Ovis aries: one gene and its partner. The protein of the gene in region 2 purifies or fractionates together with the protein of the main gene of each other region. This does not show direct contact. Links are inferred from orthologs where the notes say so. Each region holds a gene or a part of one and is shown on either strand. Other genes may lie near its edges. The genes, in order: TXN and PRDX1.

Region 1 (3,898 bases), on a different chromosome or scaffold from region 2:
AGAGAGATTATGTTTCCAAACCATCACCTATATTTTCCAGATGAATTTCCTTCAAAGCCTTCCCTAATGTGATTTTTTTAAGGTCAAACCAGCCATTCTTTACTGCAAGATCCAGGTAAGACAGGAAAATAAGGAATTACAGTGTCCGCTCAGATGAATGCATGATTTTGTGAACATGGTTGGCTTTCAGTCAATACTGGGGAGGTTACTTTCAATCTAGAATATCTTTCAGCAGTAAATTTTGGCTTCACTGAACATGAGTCACACAGCCAGGTATAGGTAAGACTTCATGACAAATTCTATTCTCTGGCCACTTGAGTTTGCATCTTACTAAGAAGCAAACCATAATTTCTAGCTTCCAGAAACTACCAGTGAGCATTGATAAAGGTCCCCATCACTGACACAAAGGTTCTGAAAACAAAACAATGCACTCATATTTGGGGCAAATAAATAAGAGCAGCTTCTGGCATCTCTTTCCCTAAATACACCCATTCCAAAGGCAATCAACAAGCCTCAGAGTGGTTTGTAAAGCATTCAGTGAAAGTGCCCGTGTGTTCAAATTAGGAGTTCAAGAAACGGCAGTGGCCATTCTTGGAACAAACTGTTGATTTCTTCTTCCTCACTTTTATAGTCTAGGTATCCCACTTGGATCTGAAACAGACCCCAGTGGTTCTGAACTACCAAAACCTCAGCTGTCTTGGATGACCAATGGCACCAATTTTAGTCCATCAGAATGAAAATCGAAAGTGTACTCAAGAGTTACAAGAAAACATTCAAATCAGCTTACCTTTTGATTGACTCTAGATCATAGTTTTGAAGACCCATTGATTACAAACCCAGATCAGTGCTTTTTCTGAGTAATGAACTTCCTGTCACCCTTGTACATCTTGCCATTAATGAGGGGAGGAAAGTGCCACAACTAAATAGGAAACTAAATATGGCAACTAAAATAGGAAAAGACTGAATTTTGAAAAGACTCTGCTCCAGGAATCAATCCATTTTTGGTTTGTAGTTGTATGGATTCTGAGACACATCAGCTAGACCAAAGATTTTTCACTCCTTTCATGGGTTTCAGAGATTCTACTGAAGAAGTCGCCAGCCTCTACAGAGGAACACCCCTTACTCCCCTCCCTCGTACCCCACCCCCCTCCGCCCCCTCTCGCCCAAGACTGTTACCAGTCATTCAGTAGATACTGACGCCAGGCTTTCCTGTGGCTCATGGTTAAGAAACCAGACGAGGAAATGTGGGTTTGATCCCTGGGTTGGAAAGATCCCCTGGAGAAGCAAATGGCAACCGACTCCAGTATTCTTGCCCAGGAAATCCCATGGACAGAAAAGCCTAGCGAGCTACAGTCCATGGGGTCACAAGAGTCGACATGACTTCACAACTAAATACACAACCGATGTTGACCCTAACCTGAGGAAGCAGCCTCAACGCTGTATAAAGCGTAACAGAAACATTCATCGAAGCATGGAAAACTGCCTACAATGTCCAGCAATGTCTTCAGTTATTGAAATGATTCCAAAATCTTCTAATTACACAGAAAGAGTTCAGACTAAATGTGACCACAAACACACACCTCCCAAATAAAAACGTCAATTATCTGTGGCTGCTTCTAGGAAAACAGATCTCTCTCTTCCCAGATTTCCTACAATGATCTTTATGTTTCTTGATCGTAAAAGGAAGAAAAGGAACCATTAACACTGAAACCTCCATTCCTCGAAGCCAACCTCAGATCTGAACCAAGTTCGGGCACTCCACTCGCCATTCCCTGCTTTACTGGGGTGGGAAGTTTTCTCCCACTGACTTTTCTGACTCTGGATTAGCATCCATTTCTTGGGGCGGGGGGCGCGCACAGTACACCAGACACTCAGGCTCTGAATTCTCCGAGCAGGAGAGTATTAAGTTTGCAATAACTCTCGATATATGCAACACTTTTTGCCTTGGGCATTCCTAAAAGGACACAACCGCCGTCGAGCACACGGCCGGGCGCGGCCGCACCCAGGGGACTCCGGGCTCCAGCGAACCCCACAGACCGAGAAAGAATCCCAGATGGGTAGGGCAGTGGAGGCCCCCGGGCCCAGCCTTGGGGACTGAGTCATTCCGAAGCCAGCGCTGCCGGAAACACGCCCCTGCGTCGCAGGAGGAGGAGTCCCGAGGGCGCGGCCCGGACTTCACTTCCTTGCCGCCACCTGGGCCACTAAAGCCGGACTCGTAGGGGTTGGGGTGGGGGTGTCTCCAGCCCGGAACCGCCCCTTTCACGCGGCCGCAGCACGCGTCACCTCTACGCCCCGGCAGCCGGGGGGAGGGGGGGGGTCTCCGGCCTAGACCCGCTCCCCAGGGAGCTCACTGCATCCAAAAGCGCGGGTGGATCACGCGGCTCCACGAGGAAGGAGTGGCGGCCAGCAAGCCCGGGCTTTCTTCAAGAAGCCCTCCACCTCCTTGCCCAGGCCCGTGTCCGGATAAAGATGGGGGGCCTAAGGCAGCCTCCCTCCATCCTCTACCCAATCGCGGCTTCCCGGGAAGAGGGGTGGCGGGGGCGCAGTGGAGGACTCCCGGGCGCTCTCCGCGCGCGTGCATCCTCCAGACACACTAAGTCACCTGGACAGGGAAGCCTGTCCGTCTCCTCCCTTCCTCCAGGGAACGCTCCACCGTCCCGGGCGCGCCCAGGCCCGGGCTTCCCGCAGTGCAAGGCCGAGCCGCCGCGTCCTCTTCCCCGAGGGATGCAGAGGGGTGGACTGCCCACCTTCGGCCCACCGCCTACCCCAGCTGCCCGGAGCTTCGTGCTGCGCCCTGGCATGCCCCGGAACGCGTACCTTGCTCTCAATCTGCTTCACCATCTTGGCAGCTGGGGGTCTGAAGAGCGACCTGACAGTGCAAGCGATGGAAACGGATGCGAGGCGCCGGACGGAGCTTAGCCAGCTCGCAGCCCGCTTTCCCTTTATAGTAACGGTGGGCGGGGCGGGCGGGCGCGCGCGGCGTGCGTGCGGCGGGGACGCGCCCGCTCAGGCCTCCCGCGCCCGCGCCGGCGCCAGGGGTAGGCCCCGCCTCCCGAAGCCGCCGGGTCGGGGCGGGACGGCTGGCGGGGGCGGGACGGCTGGCGGGGGCGGGGCCGGGACCGCTGGCAGGGGCGGGGCCGGAGGGGCCGGGCGGACGCGAGCGCGGGCGAGGGGCGGAGCTCCTGGGAGTCGTCTGGGCTTGAAACCTTCGGCATCGTCCACCTGTACCCCACCTGCGAGTGGGAAGGCGGGAGGGCCATCAGGTGATTTAAAGGGCGCATGCCGGCGGCCACTCCCTGATCTAGAGGGTCACCTGGGAAGGAGCCAGCCAGACCTTAATCGGACGCGCCCAGAGAAGAGGCCATTTATGGTTTCTCGGAAAGACCCGCTGTACCACCGCCCCACAGTCTCGCGAACCCCCACAAAATGCTGAGTAACGATAACCAGGAAGTGTCTCGGTGTGAGCCCCCACTCGCCCTCGCCGCCTCCTTATCCGGAATGTACCGCGACGGTTCTCCTGGTTCCTTCTTCCTGTCCTTTCACTTTCACCCAGGAACCTGCTGTTGCATCATGACACAGCAGTTTAGTGCCACTGTGAACCGACCGGGCTTCTGCCCGGTAGCGTTGATGCTGGTTGTTAAGTCCTGGGGAAGTGACACAGTTGTGACCCTGAGCAGGTGACCTCCCGGTTCCTCCGATTTCCTTACTGTAAGATGAGAATCAGGATGGTCCCTGATTCCTGGCGGTGGTGTTTTGAGGATTAAATAAAATTCCTTTAAAGTGATTAGGAGAGTGCTTGACACATGGTAGGCACTCAAAAAATAGTTGCTGCTGCTGCTAAGTCGCTTCAGTCGTGTCCGACTCCGCGCGACCCCATAGACGGCAGGCTACCAGGCTC
Region 2 (3,850 bases):
AGAGTTTTAACCCAGGAAGACAGAGCCCCAGTTTCTATAAACCACAAATCAGAGCGGTGAATGAATGAGATCAAATTTCAGAAAGATTTCCTGCAGCCGCAGTGGAGTGAATGGGAAAGGAACTCATGCAGGGGAGCTGGAATGCAACAACCCTGTTATAAGGAAGAACAATAAGAGAGGCTGTCTAAATAATGAGGGTTACGGAGGATCAGTCCTTGGAGAAGGAAATGGCAACCCACTCCAGTATCCTTGCTGGAAAATCTCATGGACAGAGGAACCTGGTGGATTGCAGTCCATGGGGTCGCAAAGAGTCGGGCACGACTGAGCGACTAACACACACACACACACGGAGGATCAGTACTAGAGCAGAGGCTGCGGAAACAGGGGCGGAATATTTCAGAAATACTTGAAGAGATCGTTCTCCTCAGGGTTTGGTTAGACGTAGTCTTCCGTGAGCAGCAGCGAGTGCCCGTACCCTGGTTTGGGCCTTACGAACAAGGAGGAGGCGTTCGTGTTCTGAAAGGACTGAAAGAGCGCCTCAAACTCAGGCCTCAACCGTCGGCGGCGAGAGGGGGATTGGTACTCTAAGGGCGGGAGCCCGCCCCCAGCAAGGGAAAGCGCTGAGTCATCCTGGCAGGGCACGTCGGGTCCCGGCGGTGTGCTGGCCATATCCCCCTCCCCATTCCCCCCGCCTGCACCCCCGGCCCGCCCTGACTCTCGCGAGAGCCTTACAGGCTATAAAGGCAGCGCCCCGCGCACGCCTCGCGCGTCTTCTTCCTCGCTGGTATCGGTCCTCTTTCTCTGGAACTGGTGAGTATGAGGGCCGCGCCCCCGCCCCGCCCGTCACCTTTCCCGTCTTCTCCTCGGGGCCCGCTGAACTCAGCTGGGCTCCTCGGACAAAGAAGGCGGCCAGGCGAAGCGACCCTCGTGTGGGGCTCCTTTGGGTGCGGGGACGAGGTTGAAACCCGAGGCTAACGGCAGCTTGAGTCTCCCCTACCCCCAGCAATACAAGCAGAAAGCGCTGATTGGCTTGGCGTGGCGTCTGGGCGGGTTGGTGGTGATGGAGTCTCCTGACGCGCGGGTAAGGGAAACTTCTCGAGTGAATCTGCAAACTGATCAGGAACTGAGAGCTATCAGTCGATCGTGTAGTAGAAGGAGAGGTTGTTCCCGGTCTTCAGGTGTGGAAAGTTACTAAGATTCCGTTCTCCGTCTTTATTTTTCCACCTGCAGAATGGGGTTTGTAGTGATTCTAAATGTCCTCGGTGAAGACTGAGCACTCTTCTGGAGCTTTCTGAGACGCTAGGGTGGGGGTGATGATGGGAGTGGCAGGGAGGGTACAAGAAGTGGGTTTTGGCGGAGTGGCTTTCACCAGGGACCTTCAAGGGGCGATTTCCTGAAGGGGACACACCCGGTGGAACTCCAGCTTCCCCGCCTCCCGCTCTTGGTCGTGCTTTAGTGGACGTAGGGATCCCTTGGAAAAGGTTTGAATAAGGAGGACATGTATATTAGGGTCACCTCCTGTGTTTGGTTGGGTTTTTTGGTTTGCTGTTATAGGTGTTAAGCGGTTAAAAAAAAATTGTCACAGTCGATGTTCAGTCTTTCTTTTGGCTGTAGTATTATGAACCAAGAATTTTGGGACTTGAAAAGTTAGCTTCTTGGGATTATCAAACTGATGACTTACTGGGTTAAATCTTACCATGTTCTTGACCAGGGTGAATCCAGTGTTACGTTGCTTTTTGGCAATAAATTGACTCTTGTTCTAACCATTTTTCCAGGATCTTGGTCCCTCGGTAAACTCACTTTTGAAAGGACTTCTGGGCTTTAAACACAACACTTAGAATTTTGAAATTGAGAGATGCCATAATCTTGGACTTGGCCTCTTAAAAAATTGGATTGGCTTTAGGGTGTGTGTCTTGGGAAATCTACCCAGAGAAAGAACGTGTGCTTCCCACGTTCTGAAGGCAGATGGAGGTGCAGTCCAGGGAAAGGGCATCATGGCAGCTTCTGAGGCTTGGGTGCTTAGTGTTTATGGCATTGCACCTTTGGGCCCAGGTTTGAGAGTTTCCACCCTCTTCTCTTTGTACACCTGTATAATAAACGTACACAGGAAAATGCAGTTGTACTGATGATGGTTCAGGAACAGGAAGAGTTCAGTTTATAAAGAAATTCCCATTTTAAAATGAAAACAACATTGTAAATCAACTATATTCCAATAAAAATTTAAAGATCTTAAATGAACAGTCCCTCCCCTCAAAAATGAAAACAGAGGTGAGATTCAGAGATGTGTAATATTTTTGTTTGAAAAGTTGGAAAGCTCAGTTCATGCTTCTCACTGTTATAAAAGTTTATGTGTATATTCAAGACCAGTGGACAATTTCTACAGCTTAGTCTCTTAAATAGATGAAGGTTGTTATCTAGAAAAGTAAGACTTGTTTCTAATTCACTTTCTCATCTTTTCCAGCTGATAGCAATATGTCTTCAGGAAATGCCAAAATTGGGCACCGTGCCCCCCAGTTCAAAGCAACAGCTGTTATGCCAGATGGTCAGTTCAAGGATATCAGCCTAGCTGACTACAAAGGTAAGAGTAATTAAGTTCATTAATATGAAATTATAGTACAGTCTAGGGAGGGCTTGTTCACTCTATCTCTTGTCATGTTTGAGTGTAAAATGATTTTTACATCTCATTTGTCTTTAGGATAAGAGGCTGTTGCCTTCCTATTGAAGTGGTGATTATCATCAGTGAACATAGGGTAGATCTCCAAGTCCAAACTACTTCTGGAGAAGGCATGTGCCTACTTCATTATATCTGGACATAATATCTCAATTATCTTCCCAATATTGCTCCTCAGTTATTTAACTGGAGATACACTCATTATCTTGTTACAGTTTAAAGCCTTGGACAATTTAAAGTCTCAGAGCTCAAGTCTTTGGAGCTGTGAAACTGTTCAGTTTACAAAATGTGTGTCACGATTGAGGGTTTAGGCATGTTCCCTTGACATTTTACCCCCAGAGAAAAATTGATGTCACAATTGGAACAACTCTCCTTTCTGTTAAGTAGTTTCATGTAGAAACCAGGCAAATACTAATGAGGATCTTTTTACTTTACTGTCCTAGAATAGCAAGGTATTCTGGGACAGTTCAAAATACGGATTTCCTAGAATTTAAACTTAAGGACTCAGGCGTCAAGTATACCTTTCTTGGTGATACAGCAGTTCATAGAGTTAGCTTTTGGGTAAAACCTATGACTAGATTTCTTAACAAATTCCACATACTGGTTGGAATGAGAGCAGATAAGTGGGGCCCTGTGGAGGAAAGCTCCTCCTGGCAAACAAAGTAAGTAGTACCATAGGGAGGTGACCCTGGCCTAAGGGTAAAGGCATGAGGTTTAGGAAGAGTTGCTCTGTGCCCTCCTGGGCTTGACCTGCTGAAGCTTGTTAGCAAAACCCTGGGGGAAGGTTGAAGTGTGTCAGAAGGACCAGCATATTTTGATTTTGAAACATTGCTGGTATCTGGAAATGTGAATATTTGGAATTGTTGGTGAGAGACTGCTTGACAGGTTGAAGATCTACTTCAGTTGGTAATCAGAATGACTTTAATAAAATTCCAACTAGAAATCCTATTACCTTCCAGGAGAATTTTGGGACCTTTGTCTTAGAAATTTTTTCTTTGCTTGTGCATCCTATCAGACTTATTTGAACCATGTTTGTGGTGATTTAGGTATCACTTAGACCTTACCTATCACGTTAACTGTGGTTCACTGTGGAAGAATAGCAAAGGCTCTGACTTTCTCTTGTTGGTCTTGTTGCCTTGTGGCAGAGAATCCAGCAATTCAGCTCTTTCTGGGCACTGA

What was found.
Region 1: the proteins of PRDX1 (region 2) and TXN purify together in Homo sapiens (affinity purification with western blotting; 3 studies listed by BioGRID, with this or other methods). This does not show direct contact. The link is inferred for Ovis aries from reciprocal best matches to the Homo sapiens genes PRDX1 and TXN.

Annotation. Positions count from the first base shown.
Region 1 is NC_056055.1:13,076,933-13,080,830, reverse strand, and holds the start of TXN (thioredoxin), read right to left. Parts: upstream 2,903-3,898; 5' UTR 2,842-2,902; coding exon 2,818-2,841; intron 1-2,817. UniProt on the Homo sapiens protein: Participates in various redox reactions through the reversible oxidation of its active center dithiol to a disulfide and catalyzes dithiol-disulfide exchange reactions.
Region 2 is NC_056054.1:20,142,855-20,146,704, reverse strand, and holds the start of PRDX1 (peroxiredoxin-1), read left to right. Parts: upstream 1-766; 5' UTR 767-1,060; coding exon 1,061-1,178; intron 1,179-2,461; coding exon 2,462-2,578; intron 2,579-3,850. UniProt on the Homo sapiens protein: Thiol-specific peroxidase that catalyzes the reduction of hydrogen peroxide and organic hydroperoxides to water and alcohols, respectively.